Neodiprion lecontei: one gene and its partners. The protein of the gene in region 2 interacts with the protein of the main gene of each other region in a pairwise test. Links are inferred from orthologs where the notes say so. Each region holds a gene or a part of one and is shown on either strand. Other genes may lie near its edges. The genes, in order: intraflagellar transport protein 20 homolog, huntingtin, palmitoyltransferase Hip14 and ubiquitin-associated domain-containing protein 1.

The links.
Region 1: the proteins of huntingtin (region 2) and intraflagellar transport protein 20 homolog interact in binary tests that used the Homo sapiens proteins (3 or more experiments, as listed by UniProt). The link is inferred for Neodiprion lecontei from reciprocal best matches to the Homo sapiens genes HTT and IFT20.
Region 3: the proteins of huntingtin (region 2) and palmitoyltransferase Hip14 interact in binary tests that used the Homo sapiens proteins (3 or more experiments, as listed by UniProt). The link is inferred for Neodiprion lecontei from reciprocal best matches to the Homo sapiens genes HTT and ZDHHC17.
Region 4: the proteins of huntingtin (region 2) and ubiquitin-associated domain-containing protein 1 interact in binary tests that used the Homo sapiens proteins (3 or more experiments, as listed by UniProt). The link is inferred for Neodiprion lecontei from reciprocal best matches to the Homo sapiens genes HTT and UBAC1.

What each region holds. Positions count from the first base shown.
Region 1 is NC_060264.1:1,961,260-1,969,346, reverse strand, and holds intraflagellar transport protein 20 homolog, read right to left. Parts: upstream 4,136-8,087; 5' UTR 4,127-4,135; coding exon 4,003-4,126; intron 3,423-4,002; coding exon 3,268-3,422; intron 3,153-3,267; coding exon 3,039-3,152; 3' UTR 1,540-3,038; downstream 1-1,539. Other genes in the region: probable protein phosphatase CG10417, read left to right, coding at 1-389, 896-1,150; BTB/POZ domain-containing adapter for CUL3-mediated RhoA degradation protein 3, read left to right, coding at 5,030-5,282, 5,399-5,711, 5,803-6,001, 6,196-6,399. UniProt on the Homo sapiens protein: Part of intraflagellar transport (IFT) particles involved in ciliary process assembly. May play a role in the trafficking of ciliary membrane proteins from the Golgi complex to the cilium.
Region 2 is NC_060262.1:8,087,686-8,095,544, forward strand, and holds the start of huntingtin, read left to right. Parts: upstream 1-3,425; 5' UTR 3,426-3,633; coding exon 3,634-3,719; intron 3,720-3,963; coding exon 3,964-4,150; intron 4,151-5,085; exon of another isoform or gene 5,086-5,101; coding exon 5,102-5,380; intron 5,381-5,810; coding exon 5,811-5,952; intron 5,953-6,299; coding exon 6,300-6,869; intron 6,870-7,020; coding exon 7,021-7,631; intron 7,632-7,745; coding exon 7,746-7,859.
Region 3 is NC_060265.1:1,408,334-1,416,291, forward strand, and holds the start of palmitoyltransferase Hip14, read right to left. Parts: upstream 4,270-7,958; 5' UTR 3,525-4,269; coding exon 3,387-3,524; intron 3,188-3,386; coding exon 2,988-3,187; intron 2,899-2,987; coding exon 2,689-2,898; intron 2,559-2,688; coding exon 2,279-2,558; intron 1,636-2,278; coding exon 1,435-1,635; intron 1,320-1,434; coding exon 1,158-1,319; intron 976-1,157; coding exon 819-975; intron 739-818; coding exon 494-738; intron 383-493; coding exon 146-382; 3' UTR 1-145. UniProt on the Homo sapiens protein: Palmitoyltransferase that catalyzes the addition of palmitate onto various protein substrates and is involved in a variety of cellular processes.
Region 4 is NC_060261.1:28,608,535-28,617,570, reverse strand, and holds ubiquitin-associated domain-containing protein 1, read right to left. Parts: upstream 6,134-9,036; coding exon 5,949-6,133; intron 5,186-5,948; coding exon 4,992-5,185; intron 4,598-4,991; coding exon 4,437-4,597; intron 4,261-4,436; coding exon 4,049-4,260; intron 3,999-4,048; exon of another isoform or gene 3,977-3,998; coding exon 3,795-3,976; exon of another isoform or gene 3,607-3,794; coding exon 3,416-3,606; exon of another isoform or gene 3,130-3,415; coding exon 2,991-3,129; exon of another isoform or gene 2,900-2,990; coding exon 2,757-2,899; 3' UTR 2,635-2,756; downstream 1-2,634. Other genes in the region: uncharacterized protein LOC107225833, read left to right, coding at 268-449, 544-1,562, 1,689-1,975.

The DNA of each region.
Region 1 (8,087 bases), on a different chromosome or scaffold from region 2:
ATGCGGGAGATTCCCGATGCGTTCTTTGTCGTAACGGGCAAGCTGTTGAGCTGAGTCTTGATCACAAGCCTGAGGATCAGCCGGAAATGCAGAGAATCGTTAAAGCAGGTGGAAAGGTTACTGCAGATGGCCGTGTTAACGGTGGTTTGAACCTCTCTAGAGCGTTAGGAGACCACTCCTATAAGCAGAACGCAGCACTTCCTCCTCAAGAGCAAATGATCTCTGCTGAACCAGACATTAAAACAGCTACAATTGATCCTGAACAAGACGAATTCATGGTACTTGCCTGTGATGGAATTTGGAATTTCATGTCTAGCCAAGATGTCGTGCAGTTCGTTAGTACCAGATTTAAACAGGGGTATGAGACTATTTCTCAAATTTGCGAAGAGGTAAGTAGATTGCGTTAACTTGAAATTCGGTACTCGTATATTTTGTAACAATGACGTCAATTTTTTTTAACCCTTAGTGGCCATGTGGGGTAACTCATTACCCCACGCTGAAAATCCTAGTTGTACAAGACATATGGGTGTTTTAAGACTTCTAACTGATTGTTTCATATTTGTTGAAGAGTTCTTCAACATTTCTAATGATTTTTATCACACTTGTCTACTACCGGCAGATGTCATTACTTGTATCAATTCCAAAGGTTTTAGACCTCTAATTTCACATCTTCTAAGCCTGGGGTAACTAGTTACCCTATGTGGCCGCTAAGGGTTCAACTGAGAACTCTCAGTCTTATATTTCATGCTCACCCTGTCACAAAGCAATAGCTAAATAACACATGATAATTTGTAATCAGATAAATGTCAGTATTGCTATTTCGTTCTTGTTGATATTTTACATGCTAGAATTTATTCACGGTGTATGGTATAATGTGATCCTTGGAACATTGTAGCTCTTTGACCATTGTCTTGCACCGAATACTCTTGGTGACGGAACCGGCTGTGACAATATGACTGCTGTAATAGTACGTTTTAAGAAGCCAAGTGCTCCGATACCATCTACGACCGAGGCATCTGATATGACATCAATCGCAACGGAGAATAAGAAAAGACCGGCATCACCAATTCCTTTGGCAAACGAAGGTAACATATCCACAGGTGAAGAAACGACGCCAGAATCTAAGCGTCAAAAGACCGAGACTGTCTAGGAAGTTATGCTAAGCTTCACTAACGTATCTCTGCAACCTCTTGAGAGTGACACAATGATAATAATACGGCCGTTGTAAAGTTTTGGAAATCCTGCTGTGTGAAACTTGAATTGCAAAAACGGTAAAAAAAATAAAGGTAAAAACCGACAAAAACTGTGGACTTAATAAATTGAGAAATTGGCGAAATTCTCAGTATAATAGTTATTTTATGATTGAACATACACAGAACGAACGGATGAATGATGAATAATAATAGTAATAGTGTAAAACCGTCACGTCTGGAGGATTGCAATAATCGTTAGTGTTGAACAATGGTGGCAGACTGATTGATTGGAGCAGATTGGGGGCTGACGCTTATAGAGTTTGTTTTAAATTTTTTTTTAATGAGACATTGTTAAATAAATCTGTTGCCTTTCGAGTTTAATGGGTATCTGAGGATCAGAAAACAACATAATATGTTATAGCTTCAGTGTCGCGGCATATTAATATATATGATGCGTGCATGGAACATTTGATTATCGCAAACCGTTGTGTGAAAAAGATGTGGCAAACTTAACGAGAGGAAATGGAATTAGATTCTCCTATCTGCTCCAATCTACTCTTATGATGTGTACTCAACTGAGAGTTCTTCTAGGTTACAGGTGTAATAGGTATGTAACTGTACATATTTATAAATCTAGGATGTAGGATTAATAATAATATTTGTAATTCAATACGACACCATTTCTTATTTTTACTAAATAAAGTTTATTTTTGAATTCCTGGTTACTATATGGTTGTATGGATGGTTGCGTGACTATAATGTTATCTAGTTTAATCTATTTCTCATTATTATTATTCTTATTATAATTATCATTCTTATCATTAATATAATTGCCCTTGACTACGTGTCTACATGAATTAAGTTCAGTGCTGGTAGTAATGAATGAATACTGTTTGCAGTAAATCTTTATGATTATTTTTCTCTTTTAAAATAACTTTATTGTTATAAGAGAATGAAAAAATATACGTTATGTACATTTTTTTTATCTACAAACGTTGATGATGATGATGATAATAATCCAATCTTAATAGGTCTAAGTTGTTGACGTAAAATACAATTTTTTTTCTGTTCTTCGCTTTGAAGCGAAATATGAACGATGTTTAACAATCCACTCGATCATCGAATAAATTGCGGTTCATGGCATCTACTGTAAACTACAAACAAATGAAAAAAAAATAGATAAAAGAGAATCGCCTGTTGTTAATCTTGAATGTCAAAAATTAAATACGGATTGAAGTATTAAATTTGACCGTGTATGTAATAATGAAGAAATGCTCAATAACGAGTAATATTGAACAGTTAAGAGAGGGAAGGCGATCCTTGAACGTGTGCCTTTTCAAATTATATGTGGTGCAGTATGCAGATAGGTTAAATAGAGCCAGTAACCCAAAGCCCGTTTATTTCCGTGTTTAATTATTATGTTATAATTTTATGTAGTCCGTACGTATGTATATATACAGCAATGTATATGTATACACACGCACGGCATACACATCTCGCTATGAGTTTTTCCTTTAAAAATAATTACATCACACATGATTTATGTAATTTTGGGAGAAAAAAAAAAAACTCGTCAATTATTCTATCTATTATTATTCATTGTTTTGGATCTTAATTCCGTTTCTCTTCGTTGTGTAATTACTGTAATTTATCTATATGCTCAGCCCAAATACCACCCTCTTGTATTTTTCATTAATTACACCATCATAATATTGTATACACCAGCTGATAACAGTGTTTATAATTGTATGCTACAATCCTCATTGAAAAAGTCACACGGAATAAAGAATATGCATAAAGGAAATAGAAGATAAATATGAATAATGCCGATAAAAAATTTTAACATCAATTCGCGGTCAATTGCTCTATAGTTTCTAGTTGTTCCAGTTCGATTTTTTTCAATGAATCGTACTGCACCCGTAGCCGCTCCAGTTCCGTTGACTTTTCAATTATAAGAGCCTAGAAATAGAACAAAACACACGCACCGCGTGTTTAGTACATTGTTGTCGTTCGTTGCATACGATAAAATTAATGGTAATGATTGAAAACTTTAATTGTAATTCATGATGTACACCTGAATTTGCTGTCTCTGTGCATCTCTCTGTTTAGCGACTGAGCGCAACAAGTTACGCGCCCCTATAGTCCGCATCTTTTCTTTTTCGACTTCATTCGCCAAATTGTCGACGATCTGAATGAAGTCGTCGGAACTCTTTTGGAACTCTGTTATTTCTAAAAATTTTACCCAGGATTAGAACAATAATTGCACTCGTACTTTATGCTGTACTCCATTCGCTTTCTCGCTCGTTGCTATACGGGGCTATCGAAACGGTTCCTACGATAAATCAATCCATTTTCTTCGGAAAAAAGGACAACCGTTAAATCCGTCGTAATTCATAATGTACAATTTCTATAATGCATTCTACTTGATTCAGTTTATTTTTACACCAGCTCTAATCGAACTTCGAAGTGTGTATAAGGCTAAACATATACGCACACATCAACTTTTTAGTCTGCGTAAAATAATAAAGATGGCAGTCTGCGCGATTTACAAAGTTATAACAAGCAAGGATATTCGTTGATAACGAGCGCGTTGATGGGAATTGTATTTTAATAAACGTCTCGAGGGTTGTGAAATAAATTTTAATAGAGGTAAGTGAATCGAATAAGATTTTAATAACAAGTATATTTTTCTGTATTGATGTTTTTATTATGGACGATTTTAATTGTGTGCATGTGCCATTGGAACCGCTGTCAATCGCTGTCACGCTGATTGATCCCTTTTGTGCTTTTATATCTGCTTGTCACTTACTGGAAACAAAATTCTGACACTCCTCTTTCAATTTATTTGTTTGATTCGATATTTCTGGCTCCAGTACCCGTATCTTGCTCAAATCATCGATGAATAACCCATATTTTCCCAGCGAGTCGGCCATTTTCGTCAAACAGATGTGATTCATGACGTATGCATGTGTATATTGCAATTGCTTTACGCGCAGGTGCCGGGCGAGTTAAGGCGGTACTATGCATTTTCTTAGCCGACCGATAATCTTCCTTCATTACAATTATCTACGACAATTAAGCTATTGCGCGTGTAAAGGAATGGTGAAGTAGACAACATGTATAGCGAAAAGCAGTGAAAGTTTATAAAACCTGCTCAAAACTTGGTTTTCCGGCATTCATAACGGGCTATAATTTTCGGGTGCTGGTCGGTTAAGAAAAACGTCAGCCGGCGTTTTATCGATAACGTTAAATTTTCCCTCCCTTTTGAATGCGCCAGCTAGAAAAAGACAACACGCTTTGTCGGTATGTCAGTTGACGATGTCGGCATTGTAAAATGCATATTAGCCGGTGTAGCTCGCTGTTAAATTTTGTTGAAACACGTATCATCATAAGGCTGACTCTCTTCGTTAGGATATCGTTACCCAAGCCTGTTAACACAAGCGAGTTACACTCATGCATAATGCTCGCATACATTCTCATACGCGTATCATATTCACGTCTCCAACATGGGGCAAAACATATAAATAGTGTTTTTTTTTTTTTTGGTTTATTAAAAGGAATTTTTGTTTAGTGACCATGAGAATATCGAATGAATTGTGCCGCGGATAAGAATTTAATACAATTCGTATAATTAGATAAGACATAGGAAACCATCACGAGGTCGAAATGACTCGATTTGGTTTACAGTGATTATAACCTAAAATCACATCGTATTAAATTCGCTGTTATTGTTGATCAGCGAATCCAACTTGTATTTGTAAATAACCTTAGTTACGCAGGTTTTAATAAAATTTCCGGTCTATTAACAAGCAACGATTCTGTTGCTCATGTCTTAAATGTTGAGTCTGACGCTCGATACAATTAACATATCACCATCATCGTCATCATCCGCGGCCGCGTTAATACCTGGCGGCGAAATCGTTATGTCGGGGGATCACAAAACTGTCATGAAAGGAAACCCGTCGCAGTACGTCAAATTAAACATTGGCGGTTCCCTTCATTACACCACCATTGGCACGCTCACCAAACATGACACTATGTTGCGAGCTATGTTTAGCGGTCGGATGGAGGTTCTTACAGATTGCGAAGGTGAGGAGCCGCTCATGCCTCTTTCCAAAAGGCAATTCCAAATGAAATGGTGTACAAATTTTAAAATCACCCAAGTTCCCTACTTTCTTTTTATTTACTATTATTCGTTTTCACAGGCTGGATCCTAATCGATCGGTGTGGCAAGCACTTTGGCACGATCTTAAACTTTTTGCGGGACGGTTCAGTTCCGCTACCTGAGAGTGTGAAGGAGATGGCAGAGCTGCTGGCCGAGGCAAAGTATTATTGCATCGGCGAGCTGGCTGAGTCGTGCGAACAAGCGCTCCAGCGGAAGGAGCGGGAGGCTGAACCCATCTGCAGGGTTCCACTTATCACCTCCCAACGTGAGCAGCAACTCCTTATCAGCAACACAACAAAACCTGTTGTTAAATTGCTGATTAATCGTCACAACAACAAGTACTCTTACACGAGGTAGGAGACAGATTTAAACAGCTTGGCTTTTTTCGCTTTTTAAAATTTTTTTTGGAAAGCAATCATATGACCCATTCGTTTCTATTTACAGTACATCAGATGACAATCTTTTGAAAAATATAGAACTGTTTGACAAGATGTCGCTCAGATTTAGCGGCAGGGTTTTGTTCATTAAGGACGTAATTGGGTCGAGTGAAATTTGTTGCTGGACTTTTTATGGACATGGTCGTAAGGTTGCCGAAGTTTGTTGTCATTCTATCGTCTACGCGACAGATAAAAAACATACAAAGGTAAAGATAACTTTAGGCAGAATTTAAATTTCTAACTTGAACGAACATTTTTTTCTATTGCCGTTGCCAGAAGCTGAAGAACAAATAGAGATTAATTGTTTGTGGAATCACAACACCAGTAAATACCAATTTTTATGGAATTTCACGTCTTCTACAAACTTTGTCTTAGCCAATGTTGTCCCATTTTGACTTAGGTTGAGTTCCCGGAAGCGCGTATCTACGAAGAGACGTTAAATATCTTACTTTACGAGCATCGAAACGTACCTGATCAGGAATTAATGCAGGCAACATCTTCACGTGGTGCTGTGGGAGGAGGGCCTCCTTGCACTTCAGACGAGGAAGAAGGAGAACGATCGGGACTTGCCCGACTGCGATCAAATAAGCAAAACACTAACTGACCCCATCCGAATCACCTGATGTCACCCCAACCAGCTATTCTCAATGTAGTTCGTTCATTCAAAACACGAGCCAACAAATAACCTACGAAAACGAAAAAAAAAAAAAAAACAACTGTTCATGAAAGAACAGTCTTGTTGTTTGTACAAGCGTTAATAGTAACTTGCGATTATCTACACCATACTTCCGAATCGCGTTAATTTTTATCGTAATTTTATACTCTGTAACATCTGTTGACCACATTAGGGTTCCAGTCTAAAGTGCATCGACCAGTTTGTATTAAACTAAATATCTGTTAACGAGGATTGAACAAGGCTGCCACATAAGTGTCGCAATAGTTGTCTAGATTTCGTGAAGTTTTCTCCTTTTTTCAATTTGTACTTGCATATATTGTTAGACTGTTTGACGCATGATTCGGAGTATTTACTGCCAATGAAATATGTTTGTATATTGAAAGGGAGTGCGAGAGTGAGAGTGAAACAGAGATAGAGAGAGGGAGTAAGAATGTGTGTCTGTAGAAAATTAATGGCGCTAGCCAGCCCAGGCTTTGAAAATATAGAACGTAATTCGTTGACGTTTAACGTATTTTAATTACTATTTTGAATAGCGAAATCAGATTTAAAATTCATTATTTATTTTTTTAATGTACTTTATTACATTGATTTACAACATTCCAATGATTGTACAAATCTTTTAAGCACTGCGCCCTCCTTACACAATCATTAGTATCTGTTGAGCATGCCGTGAAACATGGAGCAATGGGTACTTATTTATTAACTGATCATTTCATTTCAAAACCATTTTTCTGAGCTTGTGCTGGCTGTTAAAAAGGGACCATAAGCGTTAAACTTCCTTTGGGCCAATCTCGCAAACAGCTGATATTTTTTCTTTTTTTTTTTTCCTTTCTACTGTATTCGAAAGGTTTAAATCCGTTACAAAGTATGGGGGATGATATATTGTTATTTAGTTAGCAGATACATCTCAAGTCTCGATTGACAGGAAACCTAGCTCTTTTCATAAGTACGTACCAAGTTTAATCTGAAACTAATTAAACGGTCCTGATTGTGCCGAAGGGAATGGAGCATGAAATTGAAACAAAAGAGGAAACAGATGAACTCATTCTGAAGATTAAATTTTTTTCCCCGAACTATTTGGTAGTAATTTGAAAATATTCTTTACTATCGGTCGCAAGCCATAGATAGTTCAAATTGTATAATTAAAAAATGAGAGTCTAAACTCATGGGTAATAACATTATTTATCACTTAATTAATAATATTTTAAATTGGCCATCGACGTTATATCTACTACCATTTATTCCTAAGGACAATCATAATCGTTGCTCCTAAGTCATAGTAAGACAATTTATGTGATATTTGAATAATACCATAATTTACGCTGGTACTTTGCAATTTTTAAGGTTACATACAAAACCGTCAATAGTTGAGATTTTGTTCTTCTTAGTTATTTATATCAACTACACAGTAGCGCACAAAGTTTAACTAGATTTGCAGTTCAGACTGGTTCATTTGAATCTAACAGAGACAGTTTAATTGTTCCCAATTTCTTAATCACAAGTGTAAATGTACAATAACGTTCTTTAATTTGGTTTGACCTTTGTCCACGTTCTTTTGGTTCAATCACTACATGAAATGATCAAATTTTCGCAATTATATTTGATTGACATTGAAC
Region 2 (7,859 bases):
TGTAATTTGGTTACATTCACTGTGGTGGGCCGATCGGATTCATCCTGAAATTCGGTCTGCTGCAAGTTTTCACCTACAGATAAGTTACTAATAAATAACGACAATGGAAATACACAGAAATGTGTCACACACGATTTTTCTGTAACAGAGCACTTTATAATCTGTAGGTAATTAACCGCTTCGACGACATTGACGCAATAGTGCATCACATCAACGTGTCTTTATGCACACTGAGTTTTCTCTGACCTAAAAGGGATTAATAGTTTCAGATCTTACCAAATAACGTTGGGATACTGCCTTTTCGTAAAGTTATATAATTTTTACTTTTCTTCTGAAAGCAAGAGAGTTCAAAGTGGTCGGAACACAGAAAGCTATCACTTGATGGAGACCACGGACCAATGTTTATATTTGCGATCCACTGCTTCATAATATCAGGTTCATCCAATGGGAACCTACATAACAAGCAAAGTTTAAATTTATTAATTCACACGTTATGTTGCATTGAGTAACGGTACTTACTTGAAGAATGAATAGCCACGTCCATATTCCCTTAATCGGTGACTAGATGAACACTCTGATTTTGGGTTGTCAAATATAGTTGGTACACTGTTCTTTTTCAATGTAATTAGGAATCCTGTCCTATCAAAGCAGTCATTTGTAAAATGAGCCGAACACAATGTGCTATTTCGGTTTGGCTTCCAGTCCTTCCTCTTCATTTCTTTTAACAACTGCTGAAGGCGCAACACATCTTTCACGGGAAATCTACATATCGAATTATAATTTAATCCCTGAGTCAATAATACCCGAGTTTTCAATTTCAATTATAATAAGATCGGTTCATAATTCAAATATTGTGAATTTTTACTGACACGATTCGTACGTTATAATACTCGTTAAATATAATTAGTAAATACTTCGTATGCTGACATAACCTCTGCAAGTTATCATTTGCAGAACGCTTCAGCGTTGTATACTCACTTGTGAAATGATCGCCCACAATATTTTGATTGCTTTGTTTTGCAAAAAACGCAGGTACTCATTGTTACCTCAATAATTGTTACTGTAATTTTCCAACACAATCGATTATATACACATACATATATCACGTATATATTTATATATATCTGAAGTGACAAGAATCTGTACAAAATGGCTACCGTTCAATTGGCGTGACGGCACCACGCTTAAATCCAATCCAGTGTATATATATATCAGTGGGTTGGACCGGTTCGACTCCCTCTACTTGTGAGATGATCGCGTCCTAATAGTAGAAGTTAGTGGGATTCTAGTTTCATTTTTAGCCGCAACCTTGGCAACATCTAAGGTTCCGACCATGGTCTTAGATCGTGTTCGTAAATTGACTGACAGTACTGAAAATTCCCTACGACAGAGTCAAAGCTATTCATGAACTTGGAAGCGCAAAAGAGATGAAAAATTGCTGACAGTACTGTCAGTCAATTTTCGAACACGGCCTTATAGACACGTCTGGGTACTCCAGGGTACTCCGGCTGTAACTCCGTGCTCGAAAATGAAACCGATGTTGTGAATTTTCGCCGCTAGCGCTAGTGAGGAAGAGGCCTACTTAGGGCGTGTTCGGAATTCGACTGACCGTACTGTCAGTACTGAAAATCTACAGTAGACGTCACTTGGACTATACCATTTTCAGTACTGACAGTACTTTCTGTCAATTTCCGAACACACCCTACATAGAGATCAGTGTACTATACACAGTAGAGATCAGTGGTGTTTACGGTTCCGGAGGCTCCGTACGCGACAGGTCAAACCTGTTTCCGTCTCTCTCACACAGCCTGCATCTCTCTATTGCAGCGACACTCGTGGTCACTAGGCGAAACGATCGGTGCTTCAATAAGAGGACACCCCCACCACTGAAATTTTGACTGAATTGCCAGACCCACGGTCTTACATACAGGTCTTGCGACTCAATAGAATTCCAATGGTAGAGAGTGGCTCCTCTATTGAAGAAAAATCCAGATGGAGCTGCGATCGAGGGATGCATCAACATAACCTACAATGTTTGAGTAAGCCTTTGACGATTGACGTGCGTGTTCCGTATTGTGTTTCGTTCACAACACGGTCAAGACCGTGTCCTTGTCGCACCGGGCATCCCTCGATCGCAGCGACGCTAGCGGCTTGACACGTTAAGAGGCCCACGTCGAAACTCAGAGTCGCAAGACCTGTATGTAAGACCGTGATACAAATTATCCAGCATGAACTATAGAATCCTTTCCGAAAGTAGATCTGTAATGTGGAACAATACAGAGCGCCACCTAGAGAGTATATCAGGGACACGACACTAAACCACTGTAGATAAATCAATTCACCGGATGATTCTGTTGGGCAAAACAATTGAATATCAATCCAATAGGTAAAATGATGAATACATCATTTTAATAATTAAACCATTTAGTCCAATAGCATCCATACCAATTTTGGAAATGAAACGTAACAATGTACAAAACATCAACCTTTACAAAGTCAGTAAGATTTCCAAGGAAGTGTCTAATAACGCCTCGAGGGCACGCGCGGCATCCAAGTTTATACCTATGTTCATTGCTGGGTAGAACGGCAACAAATAGATTGCCAAGTTCGTTCTCTTGATATCAATACATTCATGACTTTCATGCATCAATTATGGCCATAGTTATGGAGACTAGAGATAAGGAGTCCGAACGGAATGCTAGCCAAATGGTCGGTGAAACTGATGAACGATCCGCGGATTGTAACCGCCTGGTAGCGCTACCACTGCGGGCTTCGGCAGCGCGGTGATTTTGAATCGTCGATCCTCACGTATGTATTCTGGGTATGTTCCGATATACACTGCGAGCACTGTTCAGTGCTCTTACTGGGGAGAAATTCGTTCCGTTATAGACTGACAGTATACAGTCGCAGTATCCTAGGGAAATATATGACGTCATAAATCGTCGCCATTTTTCTACTGTGAACACTGGTGCTTTCGAGGTAAGGTGCTCTCAGTGCTTTGATGACGTGATCAACAGCGTTCAGAAATTTAACAGCTTCCACTATTGATAATTATTATTATTGAATATTGTCATTTAAAAATATCGGCCGTTAAAAACAAAAATGGAAAATTTGAATAAATTGTGTTTATTGCAATGTGAAACAAATATTATGTATGAAATGAAAGTAACGCCAAAAAATGTCGATCACAGTATACTGTACTGCGTTCCGTTTTAAGCAGTAACCAGTATAGCTAACTATACAGGAACGGCTTCGCAGTATACTAAATTGACGACACACCTTACAGTGCTCGCAGTGTATATCGGAACATACCCTTTATTCGTAACCAGGCGCTGGTATCTCTTGCGGATACATCCCGAACTACAAGCTCTTTCATCGCTTTCACGAACCACTTTTCGACGATTCCGCCATATGCGTTCGGATTCCTTTACTCTAGTCTCCATGGCCAGTTTTATGCCTATGTGTATGATTGTGGCACCTGTCACATTAATGTCGGCTGTTGTTATGTTTAGCATTTTAAGGTAGATCACAAGTATATGAATTATTTCCAATATGTTAGTGATTAACAGCGGATGTGCTTGACGAATGATAAATATCTACGTATAATAACGCATAAAATATCCATTGACAACCATGGCTACGATTAACGGAATACTCAAAGCGGTGGATACATTGAAAAATTTGCAACTTCAAGATACTTCCCACGATTGTGCCGCCAGGTATTTTCATTATATGACTTTAAAAAATAAGCACTATTCAGCGTTTTCAAGCGCACTTCATGCACGTAAAATGCATACCTACTGTACACCCGTCCGTATATACGTCTTTTATGTAAACTTCTATATTGATTTTCGCGTCACAGATATGCTTACATGCGATTAGAAGTATTGGAGTTTGAATTGAGATTTCATCTTCCAACGAGGTTATGTCAACCAAAATGACAAATGTCCTTATTGTTTACAGAAAAAAAGAAAAAATCGCGTACTGCACTACTGTGGCAGACGGCATATGCTCTTCTGCCGCTAGACTCACTCCAAAATTTTCTCAAGTTCTTAACGTCGCTATAGAGACGCTGCTAATGCTTTGTGATGACTCGGAATCAGATGTCAGAATGGTTGCCGACGAATGCTTGAACAGGATAATACGAGGGGTATGCTGAAAATTTTAGTATACATTCGATGTAAACATATTCAGGGGATACATCATTAAGTTGTACCATCTTTCAACTTTGAAGCATCTTTAAAATACTTGTCATACTTTAGGCAAAATGTACAGACCCCAAACCATATTTTGCTTCCCATATTTGCCTTTAAATATTTTTAGGCTCTATGGGATACATGCATTTCAGACTTTGACAATTAGTTGAATGATTCTGTCACCCTCTAACATCAACATAGTGTCCAGCTCATTCGGAATAACTGGTAAAAGTTGAGAGAACAGTTAGGGGTAGTCAGTTGATTTTGGCATAACGTTGTCTAAATGATAAAGAAAGTAATTATGCAGGCTGATCCCTATACAGAGTTTTGAAATTAACTGTAATGACAATGATTTCAATTGTTAGCATTAAACATAAATATTAGATGAATAAAGTAAAAGGTTCTGAAATTCAATGATTGTTTACATTTCATTGTAAATGTGAATTTTATAATGACTCACGTCATTCCATTTATTACATTTTATAATAAAAATTCAGGTTCATAAAATCTCCATCAGTTGTTGATTATGATAGAAGAAGTGGAATAGTCCTTTGATCAAGTTAGTCAGGATTATTATATTTTACTGGAATCTTGCAGTAGAATTTAAAAAACGATTAAATTTAATTTTGCATTGTACGGTATACATAAGGTTTTAAAATTCTAAGAGGAAGTTAAGGAATTTGAAGAATAAGTTATTGCAAAATGAATAATGCTGTTATCGAAGATTTTGCATATTATCCAGTTGCATTGTGCAGTATTTTTACAAACTTTCTTGCCCAATGGTGAAAACGACTGAAAATTAATGATAAAAACTACAAGAAATTACTGAATTTGCTAGGCACCGAGGCTAAGTATATAACGAATTAATTCTGCTTCTATTTGATAATAGTTCTTCTTATTGTCAGGCTATGACAGATGGCAACATAGTGAAGGTACAAATCGTGTTATATTGCGAAATAAAAAAGAACGGTACTGCCCGAACATTAAGAACTGCACTATGGAGGTTCGCGCAGCTGGGGCACATGATCCGGCCGCTGAAAGGAAAGGCTTACGTGGCAAATCTGATACCTTGCATTGTAGCTATTGCTCAGCGTTCCGAAGAATCTGTTATCGAGACACTAGCCAATTCTTTACCATTGATTTTGAAAACTCTGGGGAATTTTACAACAGATAGCAATGTGAAGGTAAATAAATTGAAACAAAATACGAAATTTGTTCATCTGGATACTACGCCATATTTAAATGAGTGTGTTCTTTACTCACATTTAGCCTTAGCAAATTTTAGAAAAAAAAATCTAGACTCTCGTCACAGAATAAAATAATCAATAAACGCGATTGCTGTGCAATTAATAATCGGCGATTCATCTCCCATTCATATAACACACAATCTATATGGTGCTGTAGCTCATGTGTTTGAACCCGTATTAAACACAATGGCGAGCCTCTTTTCACATCAATATTTTGAATTGTCACCCAATTTCAGAGTATGCTTATCTTCCAGTAGATTAGACATCGCTTTATTTGCGAAATTGGCTTCGGTATATGCTATGAGGCCGACAGGATGTTAAATTGTCCCGTTGAACATTTGGTTTTCATGATAATTATAATTTTCAGACTCTACTCAATGCATTCTGTCAAAACATACCTTCAACACAGGCTGTATTCCGCAGAACAGCAGCTAATATGATTCTTACGACTTGCTTGAACTCTCGAAATCCTCAGGCTTTCTTATTGCACGTTTTACAGTATATGATAGGTGAGGAAGATTTTTTAATCACCTAATTTGCGTGTGACACTTTCGCTTCTAGATCAAACTGTAGCATTCTATGCTACATAGTCTATGAACCTTTGAGGCCATGAGTTTAAAATTTGGAATGCTAATGTAACAAATACACAGAGAGACAATTTAACAACCACAATCATTCCTTCAGCCTTTGGTTGTTGAAACAACTAAACTTTTTACCTTTGATACGCTGTTACATTAGCGCTACAAATTTGAACCTTGTATTTTCATCTGTGTTGTATCAAAATAAGGATATTATTAATTGTTAGGAAGTTTACCCTCTCAGAATCCTAAACGGAACTTACTTATCTCTTGATTAGATACTCTTGTGCCAATAACTGATGACGAAGACCGTGTTACAACGGTAATTGGAGTATTTGGCTGTCTAAGGATAATAATACCTCATATTGATGAAACATCAAATTTGAGCCAACCTGACGTCCCCCTTCATAGCTTTATACAGGTGTATGAGCTATGTCTACACTTTGCCAGGTGGCATTCCGATCACAATGTCGTCAATGCAGCGTTGGAGACCTTGGCTCAATTACTACAATTCCCTTTAAAAGAATTGGTTCCGATCTTGGTTTCCTGTCAAGGGATTACACGGAGCAGGATAGCAATGAATGAAAATACAGCCCGCCTTTCTTTGGGACCGATGAGTGGTTCCAATGTAACAATATCTGGAAGAAATTTGGATTCGACATTAAATCTTTTCGATCCAGATATTCCTGAAATTAAACCAACCGTAGAGAAATGGATTGTTGATTCGGAGAATGTATTACCAGTGATTCAACGACCCCATATCAAACAAGCCGACACCAATCAAGTCATAGGGAAAAAGGAAAAGTCTTTGGAGAATTACAGCAGCCTGATCATCGGATCTCTTGACAGTAAGATTATAACGATTTAATAGACACAACTAAAACAGCGATTGTGCTGGCGATGTAGGAATAAAAATGATGTTCGTAGCATGATAATATAATCTCATACATTTGTGTGTTTCTTATGTAATGCATGTTGAAGTTAGAATATTACTTCAAGGTGAGGGAATCGAGGAAGAGAGCGACACTGGAAGTGATATTGGGAAGGCGGAGCGTTCGCCTGATCTTAGTTTGCCGAGTTTACAATCTAAAGAAGACGAGTACTTGGACGAGGTATCATCGTCCGTAACATCTTTGCATAGAACATCGTCCGGAGTTCTATATCACGAATGTGACATAGGAATGTTCACTGACGCGGACGTACCACTAAAATATTGTTGTCGATACTTGGTGTCGTCGTTTCTGCTGACTGGAATTCCTGGTCAATTGATACCTGACAAAATGTTTCGAGTTAGCGTTAAATCACTTGCTCTAACTTGCATTGGTCATATTTTACGACTTTATCCAAACTTACTTTTATCAACAATTGATAAAACGCCGAATAGCAATGCAGAACAACAATACATCAGCGATATATTACTTTTTGCTAATCATATGGATCCTCAAATAAGAGGGAATGTTGCCATGGTAATTGGATATTTTCTGAAAGCTGTTTTCCTTCAATCTGGTGATAAATACAGAAATATGGAAATATTTCTAAGGTCGACCGTACCTGATAGAATGAAGGATAATATCTTATCGTTAGAAAATCTTACAGCGCTACTATTAGAGGTGAGCAGTTTTTTCCATTTTATATATTCTAAAATTACATCTAAAGTGCTTGAATATGTACCCAATGCTAAAGACAAGAAAAGAAAACTATAATAAAGTGTGTGTTATTTATAGGGATTGAAGGACGAATCGGCTACAACATGCAGACAAACACTTTTAGCATTAAATCTATGTTTGACTGAACTGATAGAGTCAGCAAATAATAAGTATGCTTTACCAATTCTCAAA
Region 3 (7,958 bases), on a different chromosome or scaffold from region 2:
ACATAGTAACTCTCTTTGGTACTACAGATTAACTATAAAAACAAGTGAAACGGCGTATCAAAATCTGATAACTCCAATAGTGATAACGTAATAACAATGCCAATAATCTTCACACGAGATATACCGTATTAGCTATCCAATATCCTTATACATATTGATAATTGTCTTTTGCCGCAAGCAAAGGTAATTTTTCTATGCTCTGCTTGAGATCAAAGCTGTGCAACCAGTCTGAGCTCGGCTTTGCTTTAACACCACAGAAGCTTAACCCACAAAAATCAGCAGCGTTCTGTATTGCCCCTCTGTGAAAGGGATTACCTTGCTTGAAGTGTTTGTAACGACCTGCGTTCATACGTTCATTGGTCGTCATACCCAGGACCATGATCTAAGGATAAAAATTAACTCATTCAACATTTCCATTACGAAATCCAAGTACACAATACAAGTATGGTTCAAAAAATTAATGGAAAAAACCTTAAGAAATGGAATTATTTACCTGGTAGCACTGACAAGCCAACAACGTTCCTACCCAAAAAGAATGAAGTGCTGTATTTGCAGATACCCAAGCTACCCACGCGTCGCAAGTAGCTGCTGATACCAAGTAATTATCTGGACTATGGCCATTTGTGAGATTACTCCAACACTCAAACTGCCAGTATTGTACGCTTGCTGACAAAACCACAATACACAAGGCTAGTAGAGATGCCAAGAATCCAAGGAAATATTTATGATTGTTTGCTCCTAAGGATGAAATTTTTTAATGGAAACAACGTGTAATATGAAGAATTTTGAAACTTTGGTAAACTTCATCGTACACGTACCAATGCAGTTATTCACCCAAGGACAGTGGTGGTCGAATCGAGCAACACAGCGATCACAAGAAGAACAATGCTTTGAGCGCATCGGTCTTCTAACCAAGCAACTACTGCAAAACCATTGCGGTTCAAAACCACCAGATTCTGCCAACGCAATAATTGTCTGAAATATGTATAACTTACAACTTAGGCTTGTAGAAAAAAAGTACGTTTTATATTAATGACATGGAAGTTCGTTTGAAAAAATTCTTCTAGCCTGATAAAATGAACTAGCTATTCATATGTTGAGTATAAGTTTTCAAGTGAATTTCGCCCGTGCAAACATCAAACATATTCAGTACATACATTTAATTTGTCTTCATGCGTTGCTGTAATCACTCCTGGATTTCCCCTCCATGATTTTAAAAAGCATGTCCACAAAGGTACGGATCCAACAACTAACATGAACCACAGATACCAGGCTGCATGTACTCCCAGCCAAAATATCCATGTTATATATATCCACATCTGTAATTTGTTAGAAATATCTCTGAACTTACATTCTTTAAATAGTTGACTGGTCAAAGACTTGTATTCTAATTTATATATTTGATGACTTTTTGATTACTATATAAATATTCACCTTTGTAGCCAGGTATATTGACATGGGCAAAATGTGAAAAAGACGCTCGTCAAACAGAAAGTGATTCGCCAAGTAGACGGCTATGTAGATGGTGAGGAAGGCACCTAATTTTGCTAAATAATCAAATCCACTTTGGAGGACTAATCCGATGATGTAAAACACGAAGAACGGAGTGCTGACCATACAATACCATCTCACTCTCTGAAAATCATGATAAAATAATAATTTTAGGCATTATAAGGTTTTTAATAATATGAAACTAATGTACCTCGTTCCATATAAATTATTAATTTACAATTATTATTGTAATTTACTAAGCACTGAGGAAAAAATTTCATAACTGTCATCAAGTTGTCATAATACATCGAGAATTACTAGGCAACGGTTTTTATCAATGATACTTCAAGGATTATTAGACTGGTATAAAAAGAATGGTTCAAAATTGTAATCGAGTTTCATGCAATGTAGGTGTCATTCAACAAGAGCATATTACAATACAATCGATATCGATCACTTAGAGTTCATCAATTTTCCCTGTGTTCCTCTCCTTCTACAAATAAAATCATTCACATGACAATAATTCACTGTAATTGAAAGAGGGAAACAAATTTAGTCTAATTGAGAGTATAATATTACTACGATATATCACATATAGTTATAGCTCACGATGCTTATTCCAACAATTATTCACTGTGCTACGTATACCAATAACCACCCAACTATTGATTAAAGCTTGTTTATGTTCTATGTTACCATAAAGTGGCTTGTACAAATAAAATATCTTTGACTGTTTCATTGGCCGTACTTTTCCACGTGGTGCGAATGGATTATCAAATTGTTATACCTTGTCTCTGCACCATGCTCTTGTGCGTCCTTGTTTCTCCTTAATTTCTTGACTTATCTTATGACCCAGCCACACTGCTCCTATATGTGGACTCAACAAGCTTTGAGGTGTTTCATTTTGAAAGTTGGGAACATCTAACGATGCCCCACTGTGAACTAACGTTGATATGGCAGTGTTGTTCTTTGCTATAATGGCCCAATGCAAGGCTGTATTACCATGGAGGTTGTCTGTGAGTGAATTTGATGCACCCAGGGTTAATAACAATCGGGTTGGATCTAGACTGTAAGATATAATTATTGAATGATCATCCTGTCGTTATATACAGGATGTTGTAAAGCATTTTGAGCGTGTACCTTGTAAATGTACATTTTATTATCAATAAGAAATCTACAATCTTCAGATTTACATACCTATTCACTTTATATGCACTCCACATTAACGGAGTCATGGCGCTTCTATCAGGCATATTTGGATTAACTCCTTTTGCGACTAGATATGCAACAATAGCTGTATGACCGAACTGAGCTGCCAAATGAATGCATGAAAATCCTTCCGAGTCTCTCAAAGAAGGATCAGCACCTGCTCTTAGCAATAATACGACCGTTGGTAGGTGCCCTTGCCTAAAAATTTTGATATAGTATTGAGTGAAAACTATTAAATGAATGAGATTACTTTCTACTTTTCAGAATGTTGTTGATCAAAAACCAACCTTGTGGCCCAATGAAGCGGAGTCGAGGCTAATTCTCCACCGATTGCATCGACGATAGCGCCTTTGGCAATAAGATATTTGACAATTTCCTTCCGATTGTTGATCGATGCCCAATGCAAGAGAGTAACAGTCTCCGAATCTGGTTGATTCACATTTGCCCCAGCTTCAACTAATTCAGTAACTCGCTCCAAAGCGCCATACTGTGTTGAATGTTATTATAATAGTCAGATATATTGATAAACATTCTCAAGTGGTTTAATATTTTATCAAGTATATAAGTATATATTATATTCTTGGCTATCGAAATAAACAGAACATCTGACTGAATTTTGATAATCTCTCTAATGATTGACTAACAATGCACATTTTTATACGTCAGTTATACAAGTGACTGTTTACCTGTGTAGCTCTGACAATGTCGTACGCGCTACAATCCTGAGTAGCAGGACGCGTTGGCTCCTGTTGTATACTACTTGGATCTTCCGGTTCACCACTGCCTTCGCCCTGACAGGCAGTTTGCATTTGTAGGGCATACATGCTGAATTTTTTGTATAATACTCAGAACGAAATACACGTGATTAGTTACGTAGTTGAACGAAACCTCAAGTCACAATCACTGCACATTCTTGAATTGAAATATCTACAAAAGCACCACTGTATAAGACAAATCACAGGTTATGTGGCTCACTCGGCGGTGTTAAAATGACGGTAACGAATTGATTTTTCTGACATACAATCAATACAGTGGATGGATTCGAGTTAGAGAGTTCTCACTTTACGAGTCAAGAGATCCCCGTCGAAGATCGTCCATAGTCAGTAATCCCGATTTGCAATGTTAGATACAAAACCAAGTTCACGACAACACTTGATTGCCGAAGGGTGGGGCGCCGGTATGTGGCACGCCAACTTCGCGTCCCGATGACAGGATTGATACTCGGCCGATTTTCTCGTCGACCAAAGCCCGGGTTTGCTGTTTGCAGAAGATTCACTACTCGGACTTTCGGAGCGGTCGCGAGATAACGCTTATTGAGTAATCGTTAATACAACATTACAACAGGGTGCTGACTAATTTTACTTTGGTGATAATGATAATCGAAACCGTCACGTGCATTGGACTCTTAAATTTATCATGTTATTAAATGACGTAGAAAACCGAGTATGAAACTTACGCACCGCGGCCGGTCTACTTTATATCAGATGCAACTGAAAGTAGTCCTCCCACTGTTGGAGATACCCAGCGTTGATATATATTGCCCTCCGGCTTGAACTCGAGGCAGTCTCACTAGATTGACAGAAAATATATGTCTTCGCCAGACACTCTCTGTGGATCTCTGGTTTTCAACGCCCGTTCGGGACACTTCGGAATTCTTATGGGAATCCATCTCTGCTCTCAAAAAGTATAATGAGCTATGGGATGGTTAACGATGGTTCTGGGAGCTGAAAATATATTGCATCGCGCGGTTACTTAGAGTATCTCATCAGTTAACGTCAACGGTCAACGTGGTAGCCGACATATCGTAACCGATAGACGACTGACGTACCGACGCTTAAAAATTTCCGTCGGAGAAAAATAACGTTTTCTCCGTTAGCCTCGTGGAAGTAATTTTAGTGAATACGGCGAACATTGAAACGAATATCCTTTCTGTCTAACTCGCAGACGTTGGAAAAACCCGATAGACTATGCGCAATCGAATGCCTTCGAAGGATGACGTCCATATAGGGCCTCAACAGATTTGTTCTGGCATTTTGCAAAATCGTCAAAAAAGAGACCAAAAAACTGCAGAGGCCTGATTTTTGTCTTCCATTTTGGGGCGGAAAGATTTTCAGCTTGAGATCGATAGCGACGCAGCTCTCTAGACCAATTAAAACCCCAAAAACTCAGGAAACGCAGCAAAAGGTCCGTAGGACGAGCAGCGGAAAAAGTAGGCAGTAAGTCTTCGGTTTTTCGGCTGTTACTCTTATTCCGTTGATCGCAACGTATTAGGACTACGCCCAATCGATTTCTCTCGCGAAATTACGTCGGAATAGTGCCAGGAAGACCGGATTCCAGCACTTTTCAAAATCGCGAAAATTTTCGCCAAAAATACAAAGGGGTTAACCTTCCTTTTTTTTTCACCAAAAAATTTTTCGTCTCAGAATTGATTCGTATGACTCTTTCCCGATCAATTGGACCCCAAGAAACCCAGAAAACGCAGCAAAAAGAGCGTGGGATCAACAGGAGAGAAGTTACGAAGGAAAAAGCACCTGCTGAAAAATGTCGAAAATTCAGGTTTTCGTTTTTTGGCTGAAACTTTTGATGCGTTGATCGCAGCGTATTGGGACTGCGCCCAATCGATTTCTCTCGCGAAATTACGTCGGAATAGTGCCAGAAAGACCTGATTCCAGCACTTTTGAAAATCGCGAAAATTTTCGCCAAAAATTCAAAGGGGTTAACCTTCCTTTTTTTTTCACCAAAAAATTTTTCGTTTCAGAATTGATTCGTATGACTCTTTCCCGATCAATTGGACCACCAGGAACTCACAAAACGCAGCAAAAAGAGCGTGGGATCAACAGGAGAGAAGTTACGAAGGAAAAAGCACCTGCTGAAAAATGTCGAAAATTCAGGTTTTCATTTTTTGGCTGTAACTTTTGATGCGTTGATCGCAGCGTATTGGGACTGCGCCCAATCGATTTCTCTTGCGAAATTACGTCGGAATAGTGCCAGAAAGACCTGATTCCAGCACTCTTCAAAATCGCGAAAATTTTCGCCAAAAATACAAAGGGGTTAACCTTCCTTTTTTTTTCACCAAAAAATTTTTCGTCTCAGAATTGATTCGTATGACTCTTTCCCGATCAATTGGACCCTGAGGAACCCAGAAAACGCAGCAAAAAGAGCGTGGGATCAACAGGAGAGAAGTTACGAAGGAAAAAGCACCTGCTGAAAAATGTCGAAAATTCGGGTTTTCGTTTTTTGGCTGTAACTTTTGATGCGTTGATCGCAGCGTATTGGGACTGCGCCCAATCGATTTCTCTCGCAAAATTACGTCGGAATAGTGCCAGAAAGACCTGATTCCAGCACTTTTTAAAATCGCGAAAATTTTCGCCAAAAATACAAAGGGGTTAACCTTCCTTTTTTTTTCACCAAAAAATTTTTCGTCTCAGAATTGATTCGTATGACTCTTTCCCGATCAATTGGACCACCAGGAACTCACAAAACGCAGCAAAAAAAGCGTGGGATCAACAGGAGAGAAGTTACGAAGGAAAAAGCACCTGCTGAAAAATGTCGGAAATTCGGGTTTTCGTTTTTTGGCTGTAACTTTTGATGCGTTGATCGCAGCGTATTGGGACTGCGCCCAATCGATTTCTCTCGCGAAATTACGTCGGAATAGTGCCAGAAAGACCTGATTCCAGCACTTTTTAAAATCGCGAAAATTTTCGCCAAAAATACAAAGGGGTTAACCTTCCTTTTTTTTTCACCAAAAAATTTTTCGTCTCAGAATTGATTCGTATGACGCTTTCCCGATCAATTGGACCCCAAGGAACCCAGAAAACGCAGCAGAAAGAGCGTGGGATCAACAGGAGAGAAGTTACGAAGGAAAAAGCACCTGCTGAAAAATGTCGAAAATTCTGGTTTTCGTTTTTTGGCTGTAACTTTTGATGCGTTGATCGCAGCGTATTGGGACTGCGCCCAATCGATTTCTCTCGCGAAATTACGTCGGAATAGTGCCAGAAAGACCTGATTCCAGCACTTTTTAAAATCGCGAAAATTTTCGCCAAAAATACAAAGGGGTCAACCTTCCTTTTTTTTTCACCAAAAAATTTTTCGTCTCAGAATTGATTCGTATGACTCTTTCCCGATCAATTGAACCCCAAGGAACCCAGAAAACCCAGCAAAAAGCGCGTGGGATCAACAGGAGAGAAGTTACGAAGGAAAAAGCACCTGCTGAAAAATGTCGAAAATTCAGGTTTTCGTTTTTTGGCTGTAACTTTTGATGCGTTGATCGCAGCGTATTGGGACTGCGCCCAATCGATTTCTCTCGCGAAATTACGTCGGAATAGTGCCAGAAAGACCTGATTCCAGCACTTTTTAAAATCGCGAAAATTTTCGCCAAAAATACATAGGGGTTAACCTTCCTTTTTTTTTCACCAAAAAATTTTTCGTCTCAGAATTGATTCGTATGACTCTTTCCCGATCAATTGGATCCCAAGGAACCCAGAAAACGCAGCAGAAAGAGCGTGGGATCAACAGGAGAGAAGTTACGAAGGAAAGAGGACCTGCTGAAAAATGTCGAAAATTCAGGTTTTCGTTTTTTGGCTGTAACTTTTGATGCGTTGATCGCAGCGTATTGGGACTGCGCCCAATCGATTTCTCTCGCAAAATTACGTCGGAATATTGCCAGAAAGACCTGATTTCAGCTCTTTTCAAAATCGCGAAAATTTTCGCAAAAAATACAAAGGGGTTAACCTTCCTTTTTTTTTCACCCAAAAATTTTTCGTCTCAGAATTGATTCGTATGACTCTTACCCGATCAGTTGGACCCCAAGGAACCCAGAAAACGCAGCAGAAAGAGCGTGGGATCAACAGGAGAGAAGTTACGAAGGAAAAAGGACCTGCTGAAAAATGTCGAAAATTCAGGTTTTCGTTTTTTGGCTGTAACTTTTGATGCGTTGATCGCAGCGTATTGGGACTGCGCCCAATCGATTTCTCTCGCGAAATTACGTCGGAATAGTGCCAGAAAGACCTGATTCCAGCACTTTTTAAAATCGCGAAAATTTTCGCCAAAAATACAAAGGGGTTAACCCTCCTTTTTTTTTCACCAAAAAATTTTTCGTCTCAGAATTGATTCGTATGACTCTTTCCCGATCAATTGGACCCCAAGGAACCCAGAAAACGCAGCAAAAAGAGCGTGGGATCAACAGGAGAGAAGTTACGAAGGAAAAAGCACCTGCTGAAAAATGTCGAAAATTCAGGTTTTCATTTTTTGGCTGTAAC
Region 4 (9,036 bases), on a different chromosome or scaffold from region 2:
TTTTACAGTCTCAAACTGCTTGAAACTGATTCAAATTGTTGAAAAATGTGGCAATTTAGTTGTGGAAGTTTTGGAAAACATTGAACGAATTTAACCATTTTCTATCCGGCTTTTTAGAAGAAGGTTCAGTTATGATTATGAAATTCATTTGTCACATAACTCTAATGGTGGATTCGCCTTGCAGAAACAGTATTCTCTGAGTGCAGGTTCCCCAGTCTTCAGCTAATGAAAGGAATTTTTATTTTGATTCTGTTTTACATTTTGAAGGAAGAATATTGGGCAACAGAATTGAAAGCTATGGAAGATAACATTACTAAACAAGCGGAAGAAGAGAATGAGCCAGAAGAAGCACAGACGTTAACGGATTTAATTGAATTGTGGATCGCAGTTGGTTTATATATCCATGCTGGTTACACCTCGATAAAAGACATACCTGATGCACAGTTAAGGTAAGAGAATAAGTTTACAGGAATAATTGGTGACTATAGATTTCATTAGATATAAAGTGAAATATCTTCTATTTGTTATTCTTTTTATTGTTAGAGAAACGTTGAGTAATTTACGAGCATATGCTTTGATCTTGCCAAACAACGAAAATACAGAATACATCGATATTGACGTCAATACAGAAACTCGAAATGACACTGATCCCTGTGATGATGAGAAACACGAACTGGTAGCAGAACAAAGCAATCTTTTGTGTCAAATATCTAAATATTTGAGCAAAAACAAATTTCCACCAGATAAAGACGAAATTATATTGAATGTTCTACTTGGAGGGGAAGCATTCCTTCCAAGCGAAGAATTTCTTGAGATATTTGGGAGGAGAAAGAAATCAAGTTCAGATACTGAAAACTGTAACTGTCTTCCATCACGTTTCATCAATTTTTGGCAAGAGTTTATAACAATGTTACATGAGAAGGAAATTTTACAAAAACTAATACTGCGGCTATTGGAACTGATAAATGATGAGACAGAGAATGAGCAAAAGCATCTTATTGCATCTTTGTGGATGAAATATATAGCGTCTAGTCTGTGCAAAATAAAATTAGCTCACAAAATCAAACATAGGTTGGAACATGTCGGAGAAAACAAAAGGAGGAGAACTTCGTCAACCATATTGTCTCTCAAAGTTCGAGACGAAGTTGATAGAAACTTTCCCGAACTTAGAGATATTTTATGGCTAAATGTCTTAGGTGAAATTCCCAGTTTCTTGACTGATATAGATTTTGTTAGAACAATCATTTCTAATCTGAATAGCAAATTTTCTAATCATTTCGTTGAACCACTTTTGGAACTGATAACACCCAGCATAAGGGATGACGTCAGGGAAAATCTTATTCATTTTATCAGTATTTATACAGCAGGGCAAAATATTGAAGACCAGACTGAATTAGTTGGTAACGAAAATGTCAAAACCATCAATGATTTTACTGCATTGTTTGAAGATCATATCAATGAAAATATCAGAAGTGATGAGCGATTGGAACAGTTCAATTTCGAAGATAATATTAAAATAGCAGATCTAACAACCAGAAATTCAAACTGGATACTTGAAAAAGGTACAGTTATTTTATCAACTACGAATTAGTATTTCAGTTTAAACCCAACCACCAGAAGAATATCTAACTATAGGAAAAATGGCATATTTCGTTCAGTTAACTGTAAAACAAATTTATTTTTCGTAGAAAAAAGTGTTGATTGGGGAAGTTGTCCAATTGGAATACTACCGTGGCAGTTGGATTCGATGGACACAGTGGATACAAGTTCGGTGGTCAATATAATAAGTGACACAGGTTCCAAAGATGTTGATATTGTACCAGGAATTATCAATAGTAAAAGTTTAATGATGAGAAGTAAAATAAATTGGAACAGCGTTTTGGGAAAAAAGAAGAGACCAAAGTGGAAAAAAAATCTCGGAAACATTGATAACATGGTCGATATGGCAATTCAAATTGTGAAGAAAAACTGTTGAATTCAAAACGTCCACTTCCGGTGTGTATTATGGACGTTTTTAACAAATTTATATTTCGCAACATGTTCCTTGCACCTAGTTTAATCGAATGTACACCGACTCGCAATGAAGTATGTAGAATTGCCAATAACAAATTTTCCGTAAAATGATTCGTCGTAGCTGAAAGATAGGGCACAAGTAGGTATGCATATGCACTTCCGGGAACTGAGTAAATGCTAATGATTTCAGACAGAGTTTATTTGCTTCAGCGTTTAACAAAGTTTTCTTTCGACATTGAACTTCGCTCGAAAAAAATAGTTTAAAATTATGCATGCCATTTTGAATTGAAATAGGTATATAAACTAGATCTTGAAGGCCCATTTTAATATAAAAATATATTTGTTGGTGTACGCGAGTATACATAATAGTTTGTATACCATTTCATATGCGTAATAGTAGCAATTATTACATGTAAAATTCGTTAAATATCGTTAGGAATAAATATCAAGCACTTTATATACTTTCCTCACAATGATAGTACCTTTTTTACTATTACATATCACTATTTGCTACTGAGTAAGTAACGAACGAATAGCATAAATACTTTAACGATAATTTATATTTTGTTTTAATATTGACTAGAATGAACTTTAACATGCCAGGCAGTTAATAACAGTAACTTATCTTCAACGTATCATGAATTATATTTAAAATTTTTTAAATTTGTACTAGGCATTATAATTCTTTTTTTTTTTTCATTTTTTTTCTGTGATTCTGAAACAGTTTCTATACTCTGCTACTGTTAGCTCTCAACAAAACGATTCATGTGAATAGCATGTTTTTCCGCATGGTAGGTTTTGAAAATTTGGCTCAACACTGGTGAAGCTTCTGGGTCATTTATCCAGATATTCGCTGACATTGGACTCTCTAGCATCGATAAGTATGCTGAAAGGTGTAAATTTTATTCTCAAGTATTTGGCATTCAGTAACTCTCGAATATAATCTCATAGAAAACGTCGTTTGTTTTTTGACTCACCTAGTAACATTTTTGGACTGGTGAGACTGAGTTGTATGTGAGGGTTTGACATAATTGCTTTATAAATTGGCCCGTCAGGGTCCAGGCCTTCGTCCAAATCTTCTAAGCTAGGGCGTCTCTCACCTAAGAGCCATTCGCACTGAAAATATAAACAACTCTTGAAGAATTTGACATCGATGGTAAAAAATCTGCTTTTGCTTTGACATTTAATGTGAATTTAAAACTCATTTTGGTGTTGACACACAAAAAAAAAAAATCACAATTATGCCAATGATCATTTTCTATGTTTTAATCGTTATGAAATTGAAGTTGAGTGTCAATAATATTTGTTACTAATTTTTCTCGAATGTTTTAGGTTAAACAAGAATTGATGAAAATCTTAAAATACTCAGTAATATAGTAGAATAGAAAATCTAGCAACGTACTGCATTTGGTTGATTATTTCCAGTGACTTTCAGTGCTTCTATGATTTTCTTCTCCTCAAACCCCATCTCTTGAAGTGAGGATATCACCCTCGTGTTTGGTTTGAAATCGAGTTTTTTGAACTGACGAAAAGACTCTAACAGCAGAGCGACGACGTTAATCAAGTTTGGCTCTCTCTTGGAACTCTGACTACCTGTTCAATAATTACCCAGCATTGAGTTGAGGACAATATTCATATTCTGAATAAATTATCGCCTCGAGACTTAATCAGAGCGAATTTTCGGTAAAGAGGAACGTATTAAATTCAACTTGCCTATGCGGTAAGAGTACATGCCATAAAGCAGTCGTAAGTTGAGCAAGTTAGCTAAACTGCAACATTACCTCCTTTGAATAAATCGACACATGCTTCCTTGAGACTTCTCCTTCTGCCCGAAGTTCCTGAGGAACTAGGTCCTCCTGTATCCACATCTAGGCTCGCGTCTAACGATGGTAGCTCAAAATCTTCTTCATCTGGATCATCTCCATGCTCTATGAGCCACTCAAGTGCTTCAGAAGTATTCATCCTTACCAATGATGAATAAACAAGTAAGGAAAAGAAATTTGCACATTCATGCAATGATGCTAATGTTACTTACTTCCTGAGCCGTAGAGCTTTCAATACTTTCTTCTCCGAGAAGCCCATATCCATGAGATATTTAACAGACTTGGGATCATTTGGCGGTTTGCATCTGGTCTCCCATCTTTCCCTAATTACTTCATAAATTTTAGCTGCTTCAGGACTATGATTTAAAATCTTTGCAGAAGTTTGGACCAGTGTGATGAGAATCTTTCTTATTTCATTCTGAAACTGTCCATGTTGTGCGTTTAATCATTGTATTTTACTCAATACTTATCATTAGCCTAATAATTATTAGCACACTTTCTTACCTCGATAAACTTTTCAAAATCTTTCTAATAAAACATAGTTTTCTAAGAATAAAACAATACTACAAAACTCATATTTTATCATTATGAAATATTTACATCAGCTGGGCAATCGGCACTGGGCGCAGGTCGTGATGGGTTTTTAATTGGAAGTCCTGCCGTGATTCGAGCTATCACCTCCTCACTGGGTCCTTTTAGAATCTCTTCTGTTAGATTTTCTTTTATTATAACTGGATGGATCTCAACCATCAGCAACTCATCTGAAACAAAAAATCACCAGAAATCATCGAAGGAAACTGACATTGAACCAGCCTCAATCATTTTCCAAAATTCGATTTTGCTATTGAAGTGAAACTTCTTTAGCAGGGATAATAACAGAATGTTGTAAAACGCGATGTTTTGAAACGCACTGCAATGAAATGTGCTGCTATGAAACGTAATGTTTTGACACGTACCACTATATAAAGCACTGTTATGAAACGCAAACTACACACAGGATTACCTATCCTCAGTCTCCTCTCTCTGTTACCGAGTTGTTGAAGCCATGGTGAATCACTTATATAAATTGCAGAAGTATCACTTCTGTTGCACACGTTTTTTTTACGTCTTTAGCAATATCCTATTCAATTTACTTCCAAATTTTGCGATACTCACCAAACTTTTCAATGCCCTCTTCCTCTGCTTTTTTTTCATCAGATAACGATTTTAGTTTTGTTGCATGAACTAATCTAAAGCATGATGAAGGCTTTGATGTGTCTTGTCCATAAAAGTGTTTAGTTGCGACTGCTTTAATTTTTTCTATAGTAAAGTCTGGCTTGATGTTGATGCCAAACACATGGCCCTCCAAACTGAAAATATTATTGTGGTGATTACGATCTGTTCCTTCATTCTTGAACATGACGAATGTACCTAAGTAATCTCTCAAATTTGGGTACATTAAACATAGCGGTTATTCTGCTCGACATTTAAAATTGGTGAACTTTATAATACAACCACCAAAACTTCTCTACACAATAATGTAGTAACTAGTTAAATGTTTAATATCTTTAACCTGAGTAATGATATTATTATATACAATATTTTCTGATACTTAATTCTATATAACTGTGAAAATCCTATTCAAAATCGCCAGGGCAATTGAGAAAATGGATATTAACCCCTCGCCGTACCATTTAGTTCGGCAAGATCTGAGCCCAAGCAATATGAGACGATGCGCGCTAAATAGGCTAGAGTGATGCTGAAAACAGCTGCAATATGAGCCTAATCTTCAGTCTACGTGTCTGACTCGTGATCTTCATGTTTGATACGAAATATGTATCACGAGTCAGATTCGTCAAAGTACGGCAGAGGGTTAAGAAAATTTAAATTCACATTTGTTTTTATTACATTCTATCTATTTTCTCATGTAGTATTTGTTAAATATTATTCTCTTTCAAATGTAATATAAAGCGATAATAGAAATAGTGGCAACTTGTACGCACATGGTGGCTTTTCACTGATTTTCAGAATATTGTTTTTAAACCGAAAGGAAGTAGAGTACACTTTTTCATAACTTCATAGTACGAGAGTGCATGGTCGAATGGTTTTTTTTATAGGTAATGAAATGCAAACCTGATAATGTTAACTGAGAAACTCTCAGGGATTGACTGTGGTGACACAAACATTGTAACACCTGAATTTCTAGAGGGATTTCCTGGGTCCGCAGAAGAGAGAGCCGAGGAGCGCCTCCCGGCTTCTCGAGAGCTCCGTCTGCTACTCCAGGCTTCCAGTATTTGTCCACGCATCCATGGAAACATCAAGTAGCCCTGGACAATAAAAAAACTAATACGTATGTTGTCCAATTTTTCGGGAGTTTAAAGCAGCGTTCGAATACACGTGTCTTTGATCACAGGGTAGTTCTAGTATTAGGTGATTTATGAGTGTTATTTTACATCGTCGTCAAGTCAGAGTTAATCGTTAATCCATAACTGACTATTCATTTCTCAATATGAAAGATTTAGGTTAAGCCAGATTAGAGTGCTCAAGTACGCGAAGTTGACATATTCCGGATACAGCGCGAGTGCAACACGATTACGCTAAATTTTTTACTTCCGATGGCAATAAAAATACCTTGACCTTAAAATTCTGGTAGTCGTTATTTTACCTTGAATATTTCCGTTCGTATTATTTTGACGTTTGCCCGCAACGGCGGCCATTTGCACGCAGTTTAAACAGTGTTGCCAACTCAGATTGTCATAATCCAGCTTGGGTCCTTGTGGCCTTGTAAAATCGCGCCAAAAACCGCCATTAATATTCATAATTATTCCAACAACTTTTCATTTGCTCTCTCGATCTTGAATTTTCGTAGGCATAGAATCGAAACGCTGTTTTAGCTAGTCGCAATTGAAGTATCTACGTTTGGTAGAGAAGCAGACTCGTTTTTCGAAAAGTGTTCGTATGGGAAAAAAATTCAGAGTAACTGTAATACATCACGGATGCGCTAATTTTGATCGAGATGACATGGATGCTCCGTATATGAGACAGTATTTAACGCAGTGTCCTGCTTTAAAGACCTAAAAAGGTGATTGTCGGCGATTTTTTTTTCTTTGATAGAGAGAGATAGAACGAAGCTTCTTAATACTTCGAGTGTATTTTAAAACACATTTGAAAGGTACGAGCAAAAGTTTTTATCATACAACTGTCGCAGAACGGCAGCGTTATTAGCTGACCCGTTGACTAAAGAATATATCTTTAGTCAACAGCTGACCATCGATGGGCCTAGCCGATTGAGTCTGGAATCGGCAAGGAAGATAAAGTGCGTATTTCTTGTCCGAAATGTAAGAACTAAAATCATTATACATCATATCTTATCATCATACGTCATACATCATACATCATACATAGTATTGAAGTTCGAAACCAAAGTTTGGATGTTCGGATGTTCAGAAAGTCAAAATTTTTTTTCTCTTGACGTCTTCAATCTATAGTGATCAGCTAGCCGAATTCCTCAGTCTGGAAACAACCGCGCGGTAGAGAGGACGTACGAGAATCGCGCTCCGCAGATTTCGAGTACCGGGTTCTTTACCTCCTGGATTCTGCGCTCCGGGTCCGTTTCGTGGCGCAACTCGAGTTCCAGGAGTAGCGCTCGGTAGTTTCTGTGCTCCAGGTCCGCTGCCTGGTGCTACTCGAGTTCCAGGAGAAGCGCGCGGTAGTTTCCATGCTCCAGGTCCGCTACCTGGTGAAACTCGACTTTCAGGACAAGTGCTCCGTAGTTTCTGCGCTCCAGGTCCAGTACCTGTTGAAACTCGACTTCCAGGACAAGCGCTACGTAGTTCTGACTGTCCAGGTTCTTGACCTGGTGACTTTTGACCTTCCGGACTAATTTTCAAGTTTACAAGTTTGATTATTGAAAACGTCATGTTTTGTACCATCAAACCAAAATGCATGTTTCAGATAACACTTTGAATCGGAAAAAACCGAGCGACCAGGACCAACAAATTGCAATTGGTGAGTGTTTGGCATTATATAGGTACATAGGAATAGATGAAAATAACGTCGTTCAATTAGAGCTAAAATTGCTGTGGTTAGTGTATCAGATCTGTTAGCACTTAGCTGGTTGTTCTGTGGTATTTTTTGTGGAAATTTATTATCATAAAATCACAATACGTTGTACTTACATGCATCTGTAAACGTGATTTGTAGTATTATATAGAAAAAATCTTACGAGCAGATTCGGTTTACGTCACATGCGCGAAGACGGTGTTCATTCTGTATACTGTGAAGCCAATACCAGAATTTTTTGGGGAGTCATCGTATCCCAGTCTCCCCTACAACTGTGTTATGTGTTAAAACACTGACAACGAGTAAGCGAGCGCACGAGCAGAAAAATCAGTTACACTAGGCATCCGACCACGAGCGAGCTTTAGCGAGCGAGTGTTTTAAAACTTGTTATTTTTAATTCGCGCACCATTCTATTATCGGTGTACCAAAATAACCCAAAAGGCAGTGATCTCGTGTTAATTGTCGAGCTCAAAGGTAAAACTTAACGATTTTTTTCTTCTGAACGAATATGAATGTGATTTAACGTATTTTATGAGTTTCTTAGTTCATCGATGATGAAAATATATGTCAATTCGAAGTAATTTTAGTTTTTACGTTTCAGACAAAAATTACGCACTCCATCTTTCCGGCCAATTCGAGATTCCAGCGACGAGGTGCTTCGATGACCAACTAATGACTTCGCCATTTTGCGACAATTGATGGTAAATAAATTTTTCTTGTACTGTCCAAATGTGAGTTGAACTACACTCGAAATTTTAAAAAGCTTCGTTAGTTATCTCCCTATAAAAAAAATAACCGACAATCAACGTTTCGCTTGGAACTTATCGTATTTGATTGATTAAAAAAAAAAATATATGTACTTTTACCGATTTTTCATATGGCAGCATTTGAAGAATCCGGTTTCCTCTTTGAACCGACATGAAAGATAGTTTTTCTCCATTATCTGATTTCATTATTGACCTTTTTTCGGTGTTACTCGAAATTTAGCTATATAATTATTGATTGCTTTCAGCTTTTAACCATTTGTATGCTATAATAGTACAAAATTAATAATTATAATCAACTATTTTCGTGTCAACCAATAAGAAAAAGCTATGTTACTATTTGTGCACGGTGAGCATAACATTTTTATGATATTTAATGGCAATTGTAATTATAT